Linked DNA regions of Tamandua tetradactyla. The protein of the gene in region 1 purifies or fractionates together with the protein of each later gene. This does not show direct contact. Links are inferred from orthologs where the notes say so. Each region holds a gene or a part of one and is shown on either strand. Other genes may lie near its edges.

Region 1 (10,774 bases):
CTGGGCAGGAGTAACCTGAAGTTTGCCGGCATGCCAATCACTCTCACCATCTCCACCAGCAGCCTCAACCTCATGGCTGCAGACTGCAAGCAGGTTGGTGGTGGGTGAGGGCAGGGGGACCCCTTCTGATGGGAGCGCTAAGGGGGGATCTGGTTAGGAGTGAGGGCTTGGGAACAGAGAGACAGTAAAGAATGAGGAAGTTTTGCAGACATAGGTAAGAAGCTAAGAGGATGAAACTGGGACTCCAGAGTTCTGACCCGGGGGGTGGGTGGGGGGTTGTGGGCACCCAGATGGGCCCTGAGGTCGCCTGCCATACCTCGTTCCCTTCCTTCTCCGTCTCCTGCCCCGGCCCTCAGATCATCGCCAACCACCACATGCAGTCCATCTCGTTTGCGTCCGGCGGGGACCCGGTGAGTTGGGGGTCGAGTGAAGATGCTGGGAGACAAATAAGGGGCTGGGCATTGGGAGGACCCTGGCAAGAGAACTGGGGGTGCTAGGATTGAGGAGATATCTGGAAAGGACCAGGTTTTAGGGGTCAAGAGTGAGGTAGGGGCATCAGGTTTTGCTCACTGGCCCTTCTGACCCTCCTCTGCAGGACACAGCTGAGTATGTCGCCTACGTTGCCAAAGACCCCGTGAATCAGCGAGGTGAGGCGCAGCGGGGGCACTGGGGGCCGGCGGGCAGGGCCGGGCTGGGGCGTCATCATTCCCTGCCTGAGCGAGTGGAGCTGAGTGGGGACTCCTGCCGAGGGGGCGCGGGCCTCTGTCCTCCCCTCCTCCTGGCAGCCCCTGCCTCAGAGCTCACGGACAGCGTCTCCTGTGCCCTCAGCCTGCCACATCCTGGAGTGTCCTGAAGGGCTTGCCCAGGACGTCATCAGCACCATTGGCCAGGCCTTCGAGCTGCGCTTTAAACAGTACCTCAGGAACCCACCCAGACTCGTCACCCCTCATGACAGGTGAGTGCGAGAACGGGGTGGGGGCCACTCTGGGGCTCCAGAAACTGAGCTGGGAAAGTCGTTCAGGGAAGGAAATAACCCATGTGCCCCTGCTTCCCACTTCCTGCTATTCTTCAGTTTCCTGTGGCCCGTCAGGAAAGGCTTTTGAGGCCCTGCCTGGTGCAGAGCCTGTTCTTATGTGTGCCCTCTCTGGAACCGTTTTCTAGGACCTCCAGGCTGCACAGCCTTCCCTGGCTAGGTGGGCTCTTCTAGTCCAAGCCTCTTTGTTTCTGGTTCTTCTCTCTTTTTTGCCCATTTTCCCATCCTTTGTTTTGCCTTTTCCTGCCCCTAAAAGCTGTCAAGAATAAGGGTGAAGGAAGATTTCTATTTTTCCCCCACTTTTCCCACCGCGGGCCTTGAGGGCTAAGCAATAGGACCAGAAGCTATTGAGTCTTTAGAGAAGGTTACAAGATTCTGAGCCCCTCCCCGCTATTTGGTGCTTCGCTTTCCCCTTGGGAGATGGCACAGTAATAGGGCATGTGTTTTAAATTCAAAGTTATATTTAAGTCTCAGGTTTTAGTTGTTTGACCTTGAGCAAATCCTTTCACCTCTCTGAGCCTCATTTTCCTTATGTGTAAAATTATAGAAAGAAAAATAACCCCGTCTTCAGGGTTGTGGGGAGGATGAAATGATTGTGCACGTAAAACTCCAGCCTTGGGTTTAACAAGTGCTGAGTGCCCAGTACGTGGCCCCTGTCCTGTTCCTGCCCATTCATTGCCCGCCCCCCCCCCACCCCCTCCTCGTTCATGCCCTCGCCCCTCACTCTGGCCTGCTTCTCAGGATGGCTGGCTTCGATGGCTCAGCTTGGGATGAGGAAGAAGAAGAGCCACCTGATCACCAGTACTATAATGACTTCCCGGGGAAGGAGCCCCCTCTTGGGGGCGTGGTAGACGTGAGGCTTCGGGAGGGAGCCACGCTGGGCGCTGCTCGACCAGCTCCACCCAGTGCCCAGACCCCCAGCCATCTGGGGGCCACGCTGGTAGGTTGCTTGGATGGCGGTGGGCGGGGCCCTGGGCGGGAGGGTCCCTGCTCTTATCTGATTTTTGTCCCTGCAGCCAGTGGGGCAGCCTGCGGGGGGAGACCCAGAAGTCCGCAAGCAGATGCCACCTCTGCCACCCTGCCCAGGTCTGAAGGGAGCTGAGGTGGGCGGAGCTGGGGCACAGGGGGCAGGGCTAGGCTCACTGTAAAGTTTCCCTGTCTTCAGCAGGCAGAGAGCTCTTTGATGACCCCTCCTATGTCAATGTACAGAACCTAGACAAGGCTCGGCAAGCAGGGGGCGGGGCCGGGCCCCTCAATCCTGCCATCAATGGCAGCACACCCCGTGACCTCTTTGACATGAGTGAGTGCTCCTCTTTCCTTTCTGCATCCCCATTTCCTTCTTGGTTCGTCCATCTGCCGTTTCCTTCCTGGCCTTCTCCTAAGTTCTGGGTCCTGGGTGAGGAGCGTATAGGCTGCCTCTCCTACCCTCTCTCTGCACCCTCAGAGCCGTTTGAAGATGCCCTTCGGGTGCCTCCACCTCCCCAGACGTTGTCCATGGCCGAGCAGCTCCGCGGGGAGCCCTGGTTCCACGGGAAGCTGAGCCGGCGGGAAGCTGAGGCGCTGCTGCAGCTCAATGGGGACTTCCTGGTGCGGGAGAGCACGACTACCCCTGGCCAGTATGTGCTCACCGGGCTGCAGAGTGGGCAGCCCAAGCACCTGCTGCTGGTGGACCCTGAGGGGGTGGTGAGTGTGGCAGAGGTGGGGGGAGAGGGGTTGCAGAAAGAAAGATACAGTACTCTGCAGTGCAGCTCTGTTCCTTTATGCATTGCTTCCTAGACTTTCCCATCCGGGAAGCTCTGTACGGGTCTCCCCTGCTCTTAAAAGGTGCCTTGGTGACCCTTCTCCAGAGATTTAGCGTTCCCAGTTTTCTCCTCCCTAAAACTAAGCTGTATTCCTTCCAGCCCTGGCTAATCCTCAAATCCCTGAACCTAAAGCCCATCAGAGCTAGAAGGGGGCCTGAGTGCTCATCTCATCTGGGCCCCTCTTTTGACAGATGAGACCATTCTGGAGTTGTACTTGGTGGGCAGATGATTAGAGGCCAGACCCCTCATCCCTTACAAGTGGAGCCAGGGCCCTCCCCAGCTTCCCTAGACTCTGGACTCAGGGCAGTGCCCTTTTTCCTATCTGTACTGCCCCGGCTTCCCCTCACAATTTTATTCTCTCTGTTATAGCAATCTCAGCCTCCCTTACACATCCTTTTTTGCACGGTGTATCTTCTCGAGACAGGCCAGCTTCCTCCAGGGCAAGGATGGAGTAGCTATCCCTCAGTTTCACGGTTCCTGGGCTGGCATCCCTTCTGCCTTTCCCCAGTTCACTGCCCTGCCCATTCCCATGCCTTGTCGAGCCCCTTTCTAGAGAGGCCTCACTTATCAGGACTGACAGCTCCCCAAGTGCTACCTCCCCACCTCCCCACCCCCATGCCATTTTTTTTCCCCTTTTTCAACCCTCTTGAATATTCCAGCTCCCTTGACCTTGGAGGCTGAGGTCCTCTTATGACACTCTACCTGAATTGTCCCTCTCTTTTCGGACCTTCCCAGGTTCGAACAAAGGATCACCGCTTTGAGAGCGTCAGTCACCTCATCAGCTACCACATGGACAATCACTTGCCCATCATCTCTGCAGGCAGCGAACTCTGCCTCCAGCAGCCTGTGGAGCGGAAACTGTGATCCTTCCCAGTGCCCTCTCCCAGGAGACACCCTCTGGCCCCATCCACTTTATTCCCTGGCTCTCAGGAGTGTTCTGAGGGCTGGATCTTGTGTTGGAGCTGGGAGTGGTGTGGACACGTGGTTCGGCATCCGGCTGAGTGAGAGGGTTTGAGTCATGAGATTGGGGTGGAATCTTGCTTCTCCTCAAACCTCACCAAAGCGTTAATGTACAGAGTGGCTCCCTTCCCTGGGCCTTGTCTGTGCCAACCTGATACCCTCTTCGCCAAGAAGGTGGATTCTTGAGGCCTGGACAGTGCCTCAAGAACGTTCTGTGGTGATAGGCCCAGTGAAGCAATCACCCTTCCAGGGAAGAGGGAATGAATCACAACTTGGGTCTACCCCTAGGCTCAGGATATGCCCCAGGCCCCTCCCAAACCCCCTCCCTCCCCCCAGTGTTGAAACTTTGTGCCTTTGACCATCTCCTAGGTCTGAATATATTTTATGCAAAGAGTTCTTCTTGGGCCCCTGAGGTCAAGGACAGGGGTCCTGACACGTTGGCTTTTGAGACCCTCTCCTGTCTTTGTTCAGCACCTCCTCCAGTTTAGGTTGGGAGAACAGAGGAGGAGTGCCACCTGCCCCCTTTCCATGGGGGATGTATACCCTTAGAGACTGCCCCAGAGCCCCCCTCCCGGCCAGGGGGGAGATGGACTCCTCCCTCCCTCAGTGCCTCCTGGCCGGGGCCCCTCACAGAAGGGGTCTGTATATGACTTTGTAAGCCCCACCCCACCATGTCGCATGCATGTTATACTCTACAGCCAAAGTGCAACCGTTCCCCCTGTAGCCTCTGCCCTGCCTCCGTGGCTGGGGTGGTGCTGGGGGGCAGGGCTGAATTTGGGCCTCCTGTAAAATTAACTCTCCCAAGAGAGTTTTACAGAGCAGGGAACAGGGCCTTTGAGACTCTAAAGCAGTAGACAATCCCTAATATCATTTCTAGATGTGGAACTGCTTTTATTTTTTATTTTATATACATGTATTTTAAGGCTGTAGATTTATTTTTTAATTTTGTTTTCTATGGCTTGTTCTTGGAGCACAAAATGATAATTGATTACGTTTATACATCACTTCTTTGACTTTTCAAAGCCCTTTTACAATTATTGGCATTTTCCTCACCCTATCCCGTGAGGGAATTGGGATCGGCAGCATTAATTTTTTTTACAGGAGCGATCCGAGGCAGAGAGGGGTAGGGCTAGAAAAACGGAGCCTCTTACATCGAGGCTGGGAGGTAGAAGTATGGCTGAAAAAGGTTTCACGAGGGGAGCATTAAAACCTGTGTTGATTTATTGAGCACCTTTTACTTTTGGCGCTGCACTAAGCCTGGCCACCGAGACGGAGAAGACGGCCCTGCCCCTTCTCTTAGGCCTCGTGCATACGGGAGAGTTGACTTTTAATTCTCGCCTCCTTTTCGTGTGTGGATGTTTTCACGGGTTTCACTTATACCAAAGGGAAATAATCCTCATTAAAGTTCGTATTTCTTCTAGCCGGGCCTGTCTCTCGGTCACTCCGCAGGTCCATTGTTCGCCGCGGTGGGCGGGGAGGAGGGAGTGGGGGGGCTCAGGGCAGCCCCGGGGCGGGGCGCGGCGGGACCCCCGGGCCCTGCACGACCCTTCGCCGCCCGCGGGACCGGGGCTTCGAGCGCGGGGCGCGGGGCAGGCGCGGCAGGGTGTGGCGCGCGGGCCCCACGATCCGCCGCGGGTTCCTCGCGGGGACCGCCTCGCGCCGCGGGCTGGGCCGGAGCGGCCAGAGGGCCTGTCGGCGCCGCGAGGCCGGACCCCCGGGAAGCCCGGGCCGCCCCGGCGCGCGCCTCCTCCGCGGCGGCCCGGAATGGTACGGTCCGGCGGCAGCGCGCCCCCAGGCCAGGTGGCACGGGCCGCCCCAGCGGCTGAGACGCCGCCCCCGCAGGCTCGCCCGCAGGCTCGGCTCTCCCCGCGCCGCCGCCGGCAGCTCCCAGCCGCGTCCTGCCCAGAGCCGGGTCCCCCTGCTCGCCGGGCTCAGTGGTGGCGGCCACGCCGAGTTCCGCTTCCTGTTGCTGCGGCCGCGGGCGGGCGGAGAGAAGAGCGGGCGCGCGATTTGCGCTCCGCGCCGCATCTGCTCCTAGCCGCGCCCCGAGGTCGCTGCAGTGCGGGGGCCTGCACTGCCCCTGGCTCTCCTTCTGGGCGATGGTGCAGCCCGAGGGCGCCTCCATCTCCCGCCGCCGCTGACCCCGGTCTCCCACCCCATGGCCGCCTCGGCGCCGCCCCCACCGGACAAGCTGGAGGGAGGTGGCGGCCCCGCACCGCCCCCTGCGCCGCCCAGCACCGGGAGGAAGCAGGGCAAGGCCGGTGAGATCTCTGGGAGGGGCGGGGGGCGCGGAGGGGCCCTAGGAGGCTCGGAAGAGGGTAGGTGGGCGAAGACCTTCAGGGACTGGGGGCACGTGTCACAGACCCAGGGCCCTGGGGTTTTAAGGGACATGGAATTCAGGAGTCACTTGGAGTTTGACGGTATCAAGAGATGGACTCTCCTTCATTTAAGGGAAAAGGTGGCCTAGTATATACCCATGCTCACAATTCATTTTTCACATCACACCCTATGATGTTATGAAGTAAATTAGCAAGTGTATAATGAAGTTACAGGAGTTGCTCAGGGGATGGTTGGGAGAAAAGAAGTTGGGGAAACCTGTGTCTACCGTTTGCTGCTCTTCCAGGTCTGCAAATGAAGAGCCCAGAAAAAAAGCGAAGGAAGTCAAATACTCAGGTGAGTGGTGGCTGGTGGTGGGGGTAATTCCTAGCAGTTCCTTGGGACCCTCTAATCTACCACTTCCATATGTATCTGGATCTTGTATCAGGTACAGAGAGAAGGGAAAGCTGTCATTTTTACTATTTGTGGACCTTTCCCTCAGCATCATAACAAACCGGGAGAAATACCCACCCTTGAGAGGTGATATGGCCAAAGACCCCATTAGGCAGGGTCAGTTCGCCCCACCTGCTCTTCCTGTCCTGGGTCCCTCATGATCATGGCACTTTCCACTTACTGGACTTTCTCTAAGTGCCAGGGATTGTGCTAAGTGTTGTACAGGTTGGGAGATAGATATTGTTTTTATTTTACCTGTTTTTTAAAATCCTTGTTTAGTATGCTGGGGTCTTTTTTGTTCTGTTTTTGCCTTTTTGTGTGTGTGTGTGCTAGGGTTTTGAAACATTTCAGGGTCAGAGTTGGGATTTTAGCCTAATCTCTGCCTGCTTTCAAAAAAAGCACAATGACTGCACTATGCTGTTTGCTTTCTACCCTCTGTTCCTCTGTTATGTTCTAAGGTCCATCTTCATCTAAGATCTGAGCTGGCTTGTACCACCCTCAAAAACATATATTGTGTTTTTAGTGCTCTCCTCCCGGTTTAACTCGGCGTCTTCCTTCGTGACTTTCTCCCTCGTCTGGTCCCCCCCAGGGCCCTGCGTACTCACATCTGACGGAGTTTGCGCCACCTCCAACTCCCATGGTGGATCACCTGGTCGCATCCAACCCTTTTGAGGATGACTTCGGAGCTCCTAAGGTGGGGGGCACAGCCCCTCCATTCCTTGGCAGTCCTGTGCCCTTTGGAGGCTTCCGTGTACAGGGGGGCATGGCAGGCCAGGTACCTCCAGGCTATGGTACTGGGGGTGGAGGGGGTCCCCAGCCTCTTCGTCGACAGCCTCCCCCTTTTCCTCCCAACCCTATGGGCCCTGCTTTCAACATGCCCCCTCAGGGCCCTGGCTACCCACCCCAAGGCAACATGAACTTTCCCAGCCAACCCTTCAGCCAGCCTCTGGGTCAAAACTTCAGCCCTCCTGGTGGGCAGATGATGCCTGGCCCAGTGGGGGGATTTGGCCCCATGATCTCACCCACCATGGGACAACCTCCCAGAGGGGAGCTGGGCCCCCCTTCGCTCCCTCAACGCTTTGCCCAGCCAGGTGCACCTTTTGGCCCCTCTCCTCTCCAGAGACCTGGTCAGGGGCTCCCCAGCCTACCCCCCAACACAAGTCCTTTCCCAGGCCCGGATCCTGGCTTTCCTGGCCCTGGTGGTGAGGATGGGGGGAAGCCCCTCAATCCACCTGCTGCCACTGCTTTTCCCCAGGAGCCCCACTCAGGCTCCCCGGCTGCTGCTGTTAATGGGAATCAGCCCAGTTTTCCTCCAAACAGCAGTGGGCGGGGTGGGGGCACCCCGGATGCTAACAGCTTGGCACCTCCTGGCAAGACAGGTGGGGGCTCAGGGCCTCAGCCTCCCCCAGGCCTGGTGTACCCATGTGGTGCCTGTCGGAGTGAGGTGAACGACGACCAAGATGCCATTCTGTGTGAGGCCTCTTGCCAGAAGTGGTTCCACCGCGAGTGCACAGGCATGACTGAGAGCGCCTATGGGCTGCTGACCACTGAGGCCTCTGCTGTCTGGGCCTGTGATCTCTGCCTCAAGACCAAGGAGATCCAGTCCGTCTATATCCGCGAGGGCATGGGGCAGCTGGTGGCTGCCAACGATGGGTGACACTGGTGAAGGGCCCAAGGAAGTGCTCTTCCAGGGTGAATGTTTCCATGCCTGGCTCTTGGTCCTTGTTTCCACTGGCTTCCTATCCTCATGGGGCAGAAACACAGTGGCTCCAGGGGGGAGAAAAGGAACTAAGGTGGGCAGGCAGAAGAGGGTCTGGACTGCTCACTTTTCTGGAAACTTGCACATTGAGATCTGTAGAGGTCCAGGAAACCAAAGCCTTGCTGAGCAGAGCCATTTTTTGGGTGGCAATCTCTGGAGGCCTAGGGGTATGGCGGCAAGAGAAAAGGGGCTGGAGGAAGATCTGGAGAGCAAGGGGGTTCCCTCTGCTGGATGCCCTCTAACACCTGTGCCTAATACCCCTATCTAGCTTCACAGCTCCAGCCTTACTCTTTGGAGTCGAGTGTTAAAGGTTTCTGACCAGAGGAGTTCGGATCTCTTCCCATCCGTAGTAGCCCTGTGATGGGCTCTGGGAGACAGCTTTAGGGAATAAGTGGGGATTTTCTCCTCTTTCCACCCTCCCTTTACCTCCTCGAAGTCCTACCCAACTCCTCCCCCCTCAAAGAACCAAATAGCTTGAAGAGGCAGGAGAGTTTTTGGCTATGGCAGTTTCTTGGTGATTTGGGGTTTCAAGACAGTAGGTAAGAGATGCTGTCAGGAGATATCTCCCTCATACCAAAGTCACTGGTTCTTTGTCCACCTCCCTTGTGCTTTTCTCCTAATGAACATATTTTTGCCAAAAATTGGGATATGTGGTCTGACAGACCAGAGCGTCTGAGGTGTGGACTGTCCCCGAAGTCTGGATTCTGTGGTTGTATAACTCTCCCCTGACTCATCCATCTTGCACATTATCCTTTGGGCCTTCAGCCTTTGGCACCCTTATTTCCCTGCCTCCCTGCTCGACCGACCGAAGGAAAGCTTGGAAAGGGTCAGAGCCCTTATACCTCATTTCCTCTCCTGATAACAGATCCAAGTAAGGCCCTAAAGGGTGTGAAGGGGAGGCTGTGAGATCCTCGTTGGCGGTGTTACTAAAAGGTTGAAGAGCCTGGATGCTTTCTGCTTCTCTTCCCCTGCCAGGTTTTCATATTTTGGGGTGGGGGGCTAGTGATCTAGCAGTTTTATTCTTTTCAGCCGAAGTCCTGCACTGGGCTTTATTTGTTGTTATTTTATTTTTTAAGTACTGCCTGCCAGGGATGGCTGGGGGCCTGACCCGGAACCCTCACAGCTGCTGTGTTTTCCTTACAGCCCTTGTAAACATTCCTCACTGGGGTAGGGAAGGGCAGGCAGGGGATGTGGCCCTCTTGGGAGAAGTTAGTGATCCCTTTCCATGAGGTGTGGTGGCAGAGGCCCTTCTGTGGTCCCCTGCTCAATTCTCTCAGTTCCCTAGCACGTGGAGAGAAGACACAGGGTATACTGTATAATCGGTGGGGCCGACATCCTTTGAGGCAATGAGAAAAGAGCAGCCCCCTAGTGCTCAGCTTTGTGTTGTGTATGTACTTCTGTTTGCCCCTTTTAGCTGTTGCTATTTTTTGTGTGGTCTCCCTTTTCCCCATTTTGTAAAATGGCTTCTGGGGGAGTGTCTTTGCTCAGTTTCCTCCCTCATGCTCCACTACTTGGAAGAAAATGGGGTGGTAGAGATGTGGTGGGGGCGTCTTTTGTACTGTTGGATTAATAAAATGACTTGAAAATCCAAACAAGGGCTCCTCTTTGCTGTTTGTGTGGAAAAGATTACAATGAGGGTGCTCCGGTGGGTCAGTGGTAGAATTCTCACCCTTCCATGCGGGAGACCTGGGTTCGTTCCTGGACCATGCACCCTCCCTACCCCCAAATAAAAGATTAGAATGAGCCACTGTCACCACTGGGAAAGGTCCTGGATGGTGAGTGGGTGGGATATGTGTCCCCCAGAACCCCTGTAAGTGGTGACTGGCAGAAGGGCTCAGGTTCCCCCCCCCCCCCCCCTTGTGTCTCTGCTGTGAGAAACGGAGTTTCCTTTCTGAGCACATTCCTGGGCCAGGACAGGAGCCAGGCGGGAGCTTTGGCTCCAAGGCCCCTGGGAGACAAGTGCTGGAAGCTCTTCTGGGTTTAGCGTCGCGCCCTCGTCCCCACCCCCACACCGCTGGGCCCAGTTGTTTGGCTTAGGCCCAAGCGCAGCTCCAGGGTGGAGGGAGGGACTGCCCCGGTCTAGCCCATTTTTGGAGGCTTTTTCAGACCCCTCCCGCCTTTTAAAAATAGCAGTGGCATCCTTAAATAGTGTGCATGGCAGAGGAGCAGGAAGGCTACAGCCAAGGCCACGATTTGCTACCCCACCTCCCCTCCCCCGTCCCGCAGCTGTCTCTGTCTGTTCCTGGGGCCAAGTGGCCCCTTGTCCTTGTCTCAGAAGATGCCACTCTTTGCCTTTCAGTTTCAGGTCTTCCCTGTAGGAACTCTGCGGAGGCACTAGGCAAGGAACGGAGGTCCCCCGGACTCGCGTTTGCTTGGACCCGGGCCCCGGGTCAGGAGGAAAGGAGCCGGGGCTCATAGCCGGGCAGCTCCGCTCCGCCCGCCCCTTGCCTC
Region 2 (10,099 bases), on another chromosome or scaffold:
GTGAGACGGCTCTCCTGTGCTCGCCCCACACTCCACCTTTCCTTTCCCGCGTGACAATCAGGAGAGACCCCCCCTCTGCCGGCCGCTCCTCAGCGTCTCAGCACAGTCCCCCCCACCCCACCCCACGAACTCAGCACGGTCCCCACCCCCACCCCCCGGGCTCAGCACAGCACCCACCCCCGTCCGCCCCGGGTCCACACGGTGCTTGCGGCGATTTAGGAGCTCGGTGAGGCTGCACGGGGCGGGGTCATCGAGGTCCTCAGGCTGCAGGAAGCTGCGGTCTGGCAGCTTGGCCACCTCCCGCCAGTTGGCAAAGCAGGCACCACCAGGGGCAGCAGACATTTCACGGCGCCCGCCCCCCACCAGCACTGCCCTTCTTTGGACCCCGCGCCTGCCCAGCATTTTCCCCCAAGCGCACGGCATCCCACGCGCGAAGGTGTTGCTCACTTCTCCTTGGCTTCTGAAATTCAAGGTCAGCTCCACGAGCGGGGTCTGTTTGTTGGCTGGGTGTGCAGCAGCTGCGGCAGGGTGGGGCCCAGGAGCCGCGCTCAGGAGATGTTTGTGGGGTGAATGAATGGATGGATGGATGTTGCTGTAGCCATAGAGAAACACTCCACGGGTAAGGGGATGGAGGTCAGGCAGGGCCTCCTGGAGGAGGCGGCCTCTGAGCTCAGAGTGCCAGGATGAGGCAGGGAGAGGTGGGAGAGCCAGGCCATGGCTACAGAGCTCAGATGGGAGGGAGAAGGTGGGGCCTCAGGCCACTAAGCCGAGCTTGGCTCCGGTTCTTACAGCTGAGGCCTGCGGATGCCCATTGCAGCCCCGGAGACCAAATTCCAACAAATCTGCCGTCTGGAAGGGATCCTGCAGCACCTGCTGGGGCCGCGGCCCTTTCCCAGAGCAGCATTCCACAGCCCGCCACCACAGCACACACCATTCTGGAGAAATCCCACAGGAGCTGGGAGACCAGCTGCAGCGAATATGAATACAGGAGACCCAGTGTGCTGGTTTGAAAGGAAGTATGCCCCCTAAGAAAAGCCATGTTTTAATATAAATCCCATTTCTTAAAGGTAGAATAATCCCTATTCAATACTATATATTTGAAACTGTAATGAGATCATCTCCCTGGTTGAAGTGATTTACTTAAGAATGGTTGTTAAACTAGATTAGGGGATGACATGTCTCCACCCATTTGAGTGGATCTTGATTAGTTTCTGAAGTCCTATAAAAGAGGAAACATTTTGGAGAATGAGAGATTCAGAGAGATTCGGAGAGAGCAGAGGATGCTGCAGCACCACAAAGCAGAGAGTCCACCAGCCAGTGACCTTTGGAGATGAAGAAGGAAAACGCCTCCCGGGGAGCTTCATGAAACTGGAAGCCAGGAGAGAAAGCTAGCAGATGATGCCATATTTGCCATGTGCCCTTCCAGCCGAGAGAGAAACCCTGACTGTGTTCACCATGTGCCTTCTCACTTGAGAGAGAAACCCTGAACTTCATCGGCCTTCTAGAAGCAAGGTATCTTTCCCTGGATGCCTTTGATTGGACTTTTCTATAGACTTGTTTTAATTCTCGGCCTTAGAACTGTAAACTAGCAACTCATTAAATTCCCCTTGTTAAAAGCCATTCTGTTTCTGGTATATTGCATTCCGGCAGCTAGCAAACTAGAACACCCAGGGACAGTCCAATTTCACATAAACAACAAATAATTTTAATGTATGTCCCGTGCAATGGCTGGGACATATTGGTACTAAAACAGTGTGTTTTGTTGAGCTGAAATCCAGGTTTGACTGGATGTCCGGTGCTCTGTCTAGCAATCCTGGGGGGGGGGGGGGCACCCCTCGCTGCCCGATGCTGGTCTGCTGGGGCTTTGGTGAGAGCCGCCCCCCACCCCCACCCCAAATGAGGCCAGCACGGGTCTCGGGCCTGGGAGGGGCCTGCTGCGGGTTTGGGGGAAGATGCAGGGGTGGTGGCTGGGGGGACAGCGAAGGCAGCGAAAAAATAGTGGACAGAGAATGAAGGTCTTCAGGACCTGAAACTTGCCACTGTGTTACAAAGTAAATTGGTAAAATGTCCCTAAGTCTGCAACTAACTGCCCAACAGTTCAGCAAAACTGCAGCGCCGTGGAGGTGAATCTGGCAAAATGTTCCCAGTCGCCGTGCCACTTCTTTGGCCTTTTCTGTACGGCTAAAATGGTCATCGTAAAAAGCCCGGGCAGGGTGGGGTGAGGGACGTGAAAAGGGTCAAGCTTTACTGCACCCACACTAGACCCTGTCTATGGGACGTCTCCTGGCAGGACCCGAGTCCAGCCACCCTGAGGATGCACACCACCGAGTGTGGGCCACTGGGGCTCCCTTGGGAGATCTTGGGGCTCCCCTGGGAGAACTTGGGACCCCCCTGGGAGATCCTGGGGCTCCCTGCCCACGCTGTGCCCTCTGCCTGGAAAGCCCTCCCTCCCGTTCCTTGTTCTTTATCCTCCCATCTCGCCTCTCCTGGGCAACAATAAACAAACCCGTGCCTCCCGAGGAAACCCCCTCCTCCGGGAAGCCTTCCCCAACTGCCCCACCCGCCTCACCTCCTCAGGCCATCCTGGAAGGGCAGGAAGAGCCACTTCTTCAGCATGTCCCTGAGGAACGGGCCCTGCTGCTCCTCCGTGAGGTCCTGGGACGCTAGACCAGGATAGCTGGGCGGCCGCCTCATGTGGAGCTCATCCCTGAGCCCCGGGAAGAAGCCTGAGTGGTGGCGCGAAGGCCTGGCAGTGCGGGCAGAACAGCAGCAGCGGGTGGTCCAGCCGGCGGTGCGGCGCGGCCTCGGTCTCCAGTGCATCGTGCCCAGGGCTGTTGCGGAGAAGGACGCCGCCTGAGAAGATGGCAGCCTTGGCCCTGGGCCCAGCGCGCCCCCGCTCAGCTGCCCTGACCCAGATCCAGGCCCTTGGGAAGCAGCTTCCATAGGTGCCAGGCCTTTCCCCTGGCGCCCAGGGGGCAAAGGTGGTTTCAGCCTGCGGGCGGGGTGCAGCCCACAGGGGAGGACACTGAGCTGCCCAAGGGACGCGGTGCCATGGCAGAGTGGATGCGGGGAGGGCAGTGCAGGGGTGACACTGCACTGTGCCAGGTGTGCCAGCGGCGCTGCATCAATGCACAACGTTAGTGACAGGGAGGGCACTCCTGTCACTAACAGGTTGTAGGTTTATATATTTCCCTATAAACCTACAACTACCCTAAAAACACAAAATTAAAGTTTAAATGCACCTACGTGTGCCTTCAGGAACGCATCCGCCCACCCAGCTCCCAAGGCTGGTGCGTGTGGGCGTCCCGGGTGTGTGCAGTCTCCAGGCCTGATTCCCACGGCTGACTGGGCCCCGGGGCGCCGCACTGAGCCCGTCGAGGTGGGTGGAGGCGCCCCTGGTTTTCCCTCAGCAGCGCAGTCCCCTCAGGGAGCCCATGGGGGCAGATGAAGCCCAGGACACAGCAGAGGCACGTCTGGGCGCCCCCCGGGGTGGGGTTTTGCTAAGGGGACCAGCAGACTGTGGCCAAAGTGTCCATGCAGGAAGCTCATCCCCGCGGCCGCCAGCGCCACTGAACCCGCCAAGCCTGAGCAGAGTGCCTGGGGCCACCTGTCCCACAGGCACAGGGATGCTGTCCCCGAGGGTTCCAGCACTCAGGCTCACACGGGCAACCAGGAAAGAACCGGCCCACGTGGACCCTAAGCCATAAGGAAATCGCAGAGCCACCCGGAGGCTTGGGGGCGGGGGGGCCAAGGGCAGCGCTCCCGCATGCTGGGTGCTCAAGCTCCCCCACCTGATGGGCCCTGTCACGCGTCACCTCGCAGCACTCAGGTCGCCTCCCTGACCTCCCCGAGCTGTGATCACCAAAACCACCTCCAGCCGTGGCCAAGTGTCCCCTGGGGGACACATCACCCCGGAAGACCCTGCTCTAGCTAGCCCTTGCGCCTGCTGCCCCCCCACCCCCCAAATCAGTCTTTGTCCAAACCCCTAGAAGCTGTGAAGGGACCTTCCTTGGAAAGAGGGTCTTTGCAGCGGGGAGAAGAGCAGGAGGCAGCTGAGCCCAATGGGCCCCTTCCTGCCCCTCTCCCATCCCAGGGCCCTAAGTCCAGTGTCTGGTGTTTTCACGGACATGACAGCAGAGGAGCACACTCAGGGGAGACGCAAGGGCGGGGGGCAGTGGGGGGGGGCACCCGGGGCTGGAAGAGGCAAGAGGAGCCCCCCGAGGACCCCGGTGGAGGGGCCCTGCCCCATCTTCATTCCAGGCTCCTGGCCCGGGAAACCGCTGCAGTGAAATCCCCAAGCCGTGAACTTTCCGTCTTATTTCAGTACATGGTTCCTTTTTCCCCTTTGCCAGGAAAGTCCCTGCAGGCCCCTGGGGCACACAGAGGCACAAAGCCTGGAGAGGCACGGCCTGGCTGGCCCGAAGCCTGAGTTCTGCCCTCCAGCCTCTGTTTCCGGTTCTGTAAAACGGGGCAAGCCAGGTTCTCAGTTCCTGCTCCCACATCCTTGGGGACACACGAGTTTCAGAATTGGCCAATACTGCTGCATTCTGTGATGTGGTGGACGACCCCTGGACGCAGCTCGGGCACTGCAGGCCGGGAGGCACCCGGGCAGCGTCCAGCCCCAAGCCTTCTCGGAGCTGTGGGCAGGTTTCAGGAGGCTTATCCTGTGCTGCTCAGAGCAGGCTCGCTCAGCCAGGGGCAGAGGTGGATGAAGGGGAGCAAAAGGAGGGGGAGGCGTGTAGGGAAAGGGTGTAAGGGGGGAGAAAAGGGGTCAGAGAAGAGGAAATGGGTAGAAATGGAAAGAGGAAGGGAGCAGGAGAGGGGTGCAGGGGAAGGGGGAGAAAAGGGGGTACCCCAAGATGGGGAAGAGTAGGTGAAAGAGTAGGACAGGAAGAAAGAGGAAGAAGGGGCGGGAGAGAAGGAGGAGGGGGAAGAGGGGAGAGAATAAGGGTGAGGAGGAGGACACAGGGGTGGCAGTAGGAGCCAGATGGGGGGGGCCAGAGGAGCGACACAGCGGGTGTGAATCCCGACCTTGTGCAAGGAGGGGGCGGACTTCAGTCCTTATCTGTGAAATGGGCGACCACAAGCGGCACCGCAGGACGAGGTTGCAGCTGTCCTTACCGGTCATCGCCTACTCGGCTGACCGTTGGCAGGAAACCCGGGGCCAGGGACTGGCTCCGGGCCCGTCCTCCGGATCTGCCTCCTCGCCCCCTTTCCACCCACCCGAACTGTCCGCGGGGACCAATGGCCGCGTGCGGGGGTGGGGGGCCTGCCCAGCCCTGGCCTCCGAGTGGCGCTGGACACCGGCCCTGGCCTCCTCCCGAAGACAGCGCGGGGAAGGTCGGCCAAGCAAGGCAGAGGACGAGCGGGGGGGCGAGGGTAGGTGGCGTGCGGGCGCCCCGGGGCAGGGGCGGAGCCCGGAGCCCGCAGAAACAAGCCGGGGGCCCGGAGCAGGTCCACGCCCGGGCTGGGTGTCGGGGCCGCAGCTGAGCCTCCTCCCCGGGGTGCCTGCGAGGGAGCGGCCAGCTGAGGGTCAGCGCGGGCGCCAGGTCAGCGGAGGGGGGGCGCCGGCCGGGGTCGGGACTGCAGTTCCGGGGCCCTGGGTGTGCGTGAGGACCCCGGGGCCTGGGCCCCTCGCTGGGCTCCGGGCTTATGACGTAAACTGGCGGGGTCTGCAGGCGGACCCGGGATACACACGTGGCAGCGCTGCGGGGCCCCCACCATCCGGCTCGCGGGCCCCGAGGCCGCCAGGCCTCTGGAGCCGGGATCCAGGCCCGCAGGGCAGGAGTCCAGCGCAGGCGGGTCCTGGGCGGAAACTGGGATATGGGGATCCGAGAGGCCTCGGGCACAGGCCGCGCGCAACCGCGATCACGCCCCGAGGCCACAGGTGTTTCTGGACGCCCCGGGAGGCGCGTTGCCAGGGACACAGCTGCTGGCCTCGACGCCGCTCTAGCCCACGATCTCGTTGGCCGTTGCCATCTGGCGCGGCGCCTCTCTCCGGTCACAGCCTCTGGAGGGGGGCGGGCCTCGGCGGCCGCTCTAGCCCGCAATCTCGTTAGCTATTGCCACTCTGACCTAACGCCTCTATGGTCGCGGCCTCCGGAGAGGGGCGGGTCTCGGAGGAGCGGCTGAGCAGCTCCAGGCCGCGCCCGTCCGGGACAGCCCGGGGCGGGCCTGGGCGCCAGGTGGGCGGAAGGGAGGCCCGAGGCGAAGGTCGGGTGGAACTGGGCCTGGGGGTGCAGGCGAGACCTGAAATTAAGGGCGGGGCGAGGGGCGAGGAGGCAGGTGGAAGCTTGGACGCTAGGGTGAGATCTACGTGCGTGGGCGGGGCCCGGCTTGGAGCCGGAAGAACTGGCCTGGGGGCGGAACCTAGCTTGGGGGCGGGGCCGCGGGTGCAGCTTGGGAGCCGATCCAGCCTCTCGGTCCAACTCTGGCCGAACCGGGGGCCGAGCTGGGCGGGGCTTGGTAAGGGGGCGGGGCTGGTCTTAGGACCAGCCCGGGGCAGGCCGCTGGGGGTCCGGGGGCTGGGCCCGGGGCCTGCCGGGGTCTTGGCGGGGACCAGGGGTAGGCGGGTGGGGGCGGGGCCGGGTCGGGAGGGTCGGAGCCAGAGCCTGGGTCGGAGCCTGGTTGGGCGGGGCGGGGTGGGTCTGGTGGGGCGGGGCGGGGCCTGGCGGGGCGGGGCTCCCTGGCCCACCTGGCGCCTCTGTCTCTGGTCCTTCCAGGATGCGCGCTGCAGGGGCATCCGTGGCCTCGCTGGCCCTCCTGTGGCTGCTGGGGCTCCCGTGGACCTGGAGTCTGGCCGCGGCACTCGGCGTGTACGTGGGCGGCGGCGGCTGGCGTTTCCTGCGCATCGTCTGCAAGACGGCGAGGCGGGACTTTTTGTAAGTGTGATGGGACCACCCCGGGCGGGGATTCTGGGGCTGCGGAGGCCGGTGGCCAAGGGGGCCCGAGCGGGTTGCTGGGCGGCTCGAGGGTCCTGGGAGGCTTCGGTCCCGGGGCGGGACTTGGGTCCTGCATGGGTGACGGCGGGGGTCTCTGAGAGCAGCGTGGGAGGCCGTGTGTTCCAAGGAGACCTCGAGGGGCAGCGAGGCTGGCTTTGCGGGTGCGACCGCGGGTCTTTGGCAGCTGGGGTGGGGAGAGGCCCCTGGAGTTACTTCAGGGTCTCTGCCGCTTTCACAGAGTCCATTTAGTTGCTCTGGCGAGGCGGAGGGGTTGCTTGAGGAGCCCCTGGAGGGCTTTTGTCTCCTCCAAGCTTTTACAGCCCTCCCCAGCCTTTGCACACGTTTAGAACTGGGGACCTGTGTGCGGATGGGGTTGGCTGGGCCTGGGGGGGTGTGTCTTTATTCCAGGGCCTGTTCTGGAGTCGCTGGAGACTGGCTTCTCTGGGGTTCTCCTTGGTGGTGTGTACAGGGTCTCAGGGGGGTTCTCACAGTGGCAGGCTCAGTCATAGCCCCAGTGTGTGGGTACTCACCTTCACAGGTACCCCTGGGCCCATCCCGAGGGTGTGGAAACCGAGGCTCAGGGATGCTTCCATGCAGGTTGACAGCTCTGAACCTTCTAGAACGTGCCTCTTCCTCTCCATGCTCACTGCTCTCTCACTCCATTTGCCCCTGTCCCTCCCCTGGGGTCATTCTGACAGGCAGATCTGTTTTTGCAGCTTCTGTTCCCATGCCTCCATGCACCACAGCCCTGACAGGAGAAGCCTCATTCTCTCAGCTGGACACCTGAGGCCCAGCCCACCTCTGAATGGGCCCCCAACCCCAAGCCAGCGTGTGGTTTCAGGCCCAGACTTGTCGGGACACTCTGGCCCCCTTTTGCTGGGTGGCACCCGCAGGTCTCCTTCCCTGTGTCGGCCCCCACAAGGCCCAGCTCAGGCCCGGCACGCAGTAAGAACACAGGTTCCTCTGCCTCTTGCCCCCACACCTCTCCAGCCCAGCTCTGCCCCTTGGGCCTGTGGTAGCGCGGCCCGGCTCTTGCTGCTGGGCATGTAGCAAACTAACCAACCATTCTGGGGCAGGCGCCCTTGGAGACAGCCTCCAGTGACCCTCCCCTTGTGTGTGGCTGGACCCAGTGACTCACTTCCAGTGGACAGAAGTGATGGGTATTCCCTCTGGGACCTGGTAATAAAAGGCCGTGGACCTTTCTGGGGGCTGCCTCCTGCCCTTTGGCCCTTGCTCTGGGGGAAACTAGCTGCCGTGTTGGAAGCAGCCCTGCACAGAGGGCCCACATGAGAGCTGAGAAGGAGACCCTGCTCAGTAGAGCCCGAGATAGTGGCAGTCCCACGAGAGACCCTGAGCCAGAACCACCCAGCTAAGGCACCCCCAGACTCCTGATCCACAGAAACAAATGGTAAATGCCTCTTGTATCCAGCCAGTTGGTTTTGGGGTTATTTGTTATATAGCAATAGCTAGCTGATACACCTTGTGTAGCCTTCTCTATGTGTCAGCCCCTATTCTAATCCTCTCACAGCTCTGTGAGGAAAGGACACTTGCTAATCCTATTTTAAAGGTAGGTGAACCAAGGTACGGAGAAATGGGGTCATTTGCACAGGGATACCCAGTCAGGCTGGGGACAGGACTCTGGAGCCAGTGCTGATAGCCACCACATTTAGGCTGCACTTAGGCCTGGAGCACAGAAACCGTTGACAGAGAACCTAATTACCCTGTGTCTGCTGCGAGCAGTGTGCACACTTGCCCCTGCCCGTCCCCCCACCTGCAGCCCTGGGGGGGCCAGAAAGAGCAGGATCGGGAAGAGTGTGGGTGGGGCCTGGGGCTGGACACGGGCTTCTTTGTTGGTGGGGTGGGGATGGCTGGGCGCTGCTGCCAGGGGGGGCTGCCAGGAATGCGGCTGGCACCGTGCCCATGGCCTACCTGCGCTTGGAGAGCAGCGCCGCGGAAGCCATCCGCGGGCTTGCCCTGAGCATGGTCAGCTGCCCTCGGTTCCTGTTTCCTGGGTCCGTGGACAGGGCCTGTGTCCTTGGTTTTGGGGGCCGGCTGATGGCCGGGACATGACCGCCTCCCAGAGCTCTTGGGCACTGTCCCACTCACTCACAGAGCCTTTAGGGCAGGGGTGGGCGGCCATGCCTGCTGGGGACCCATTGAGCTCCCCTCCCTGGCCTGAGAGCCTGGCACAGTGGTGGGCAGAGGGGCCTCGGTGCTGTGTGACCCGCGCTCACCATCCCACCCACTAGGCCTTGGGGCCCTCTCTTGAGGTGGCTGTGAGGCTAGCGCTGCATGGCGCAGTGTCACCACCTTCACTCAGCGGGGGCCTGGATGGTGACCCCCTGCTCGTCCTGGCCCCTTCTCGCTCATCCCACAGTCACCCTGGAACTTGTGGGCGGGTCCAGCACCCCTCCTCCACCAGTACCCTTCAGGATATCCCCTGTGCCCCAGGCCGTCAGTCTGACAAGGGCAGGCCACATGGGGACCGTGTGGAACGCCACTTCTTCACGTCCCCTGCGAGGAGGGGTCACGTGTATGTGGGGGGAAGCTGTCCACCTTCCGACCCAGCCTCACAGGTCGCGCTTGAGGGGCAGGAAACGAACCCCACGTTTGAAGGGCGAGTATGGAAGAAAGAGCCAAAGTGAGCAAAAGTGGGCAGGGCTGGAGGGCTTCCTGGAGGAGGTGGTGTGACCTGAGATCCCAGGGAGAAGGAGAGCGCTGCGGCAGCGCCTTCTGTTCCAGCCGTGGGCACTGCATGGCTGAGGGCCTGAGATGGAGCTGCCTGGCCAGTGAGCCCCTCTCCCATGTGGGGTGAAGGCAGGAGCTCCCTGTGTGTGGCTGTGGAGGCTGTGGGTGGGCTGTGGGTCCTGGGCCCAGGAGCACACTCCCCACAGGCGCATGCCTGCTGTTCGGGCAGCCCAGGCCTTTGCCAGGGGTGAGAGTCCTGGGGTGGGCAGAGGACTCCTGGAGCCCTGGGCTGCTGGCCGGGTTGTCCCCCTTGCAGTGGCACCTGCTGGGCTGGGGCAGGTACAGCTCAGGGCGACGCATGCGCAAGTGGGGTGGGGGCCTGTACGGCCCCAGCCCAGGACACCCCATGCTGTTGGGAACCCAGCTGTTGTTTCGCTGAGGCTCTGGGTTGAGAATGAGGGCTTGCTCTC

What was found. Proteins that work in one complex are often made in the same cells at the same time.
Region 2: the proteins of PBXIP1 (region 1) and SLC27A1 purify together in Homo sapiens (co-immunoprecipitation; 3 studies listed by BioGRID and IntAct, with this or other methods). This does not show direct contact. The link is inferred for Tamandua tetradactyla from reciprocal best matches to the Homo sapiens genes PBXIP1 and SLC27A1.

Annotation. Positions count from the first base shown.
Region 1 is NC_135330.1:7,948,970-7,959,743, reverse strand, and holds the start of PBXIP1 (pre-B-cell leukemia transcription factor-interacting protein 1), read left to right. Parts: upstream 1-5,782; 5' UTR 5,783-5,953; coding exon 5,954-6,056; intron 6,057-6,418; coding exon 6,419-6,468; intron 6,469-7,153; coding exon 7,154-7,258; intron 7,259-10,774. Other genes in the region: SHC1 (SHC-transforming protein 1), read left to right, coding at 1-93, 357-410, 596-647, 829-955, 1,775-1,973, 2,050-2,119, 2,199-2,333, 2,478-2,716 and 1 more. UniProt on the Homo sapiens protein: Regulator of pre-B-cell leukemia transcription factors (BPXs) function. Inhibits the binding of PBX1-HOX complex to DNA and blocks the transcriptional activity of E2A-PBX1.
Region 2 is NC_135337.1:96,592,103-96,602,201, reverse strand, and holds the start of SLC27A1 (long-chain fatty acid transport protein 1), read left to right. Parts: upstream 1-5,246; 5' UTR 5,247-5,340; exon of another isoform or gene 5,341-5,379; intron 5,380-5,439; exon of another isoform or gene 5,440-5,549; intron 5,550-6,106; exon of another isoform or gene 6,107-6,185; intron 6,186-6,287; exon of another isoform or gene 6,288-6,465; intron 6,466-6,503; exon of another isoform or gene 6,504-6,564; intron 6,565-6,722; 5' UTR 6,723-6,723; coding exon 6,724-6,881; intron 6,882-10,099. UniProt on the Homo sapiens protein: Mediates the import of long-chain fatty acids (LCFA) into the cell by facilitating their transport at the plasma membrane.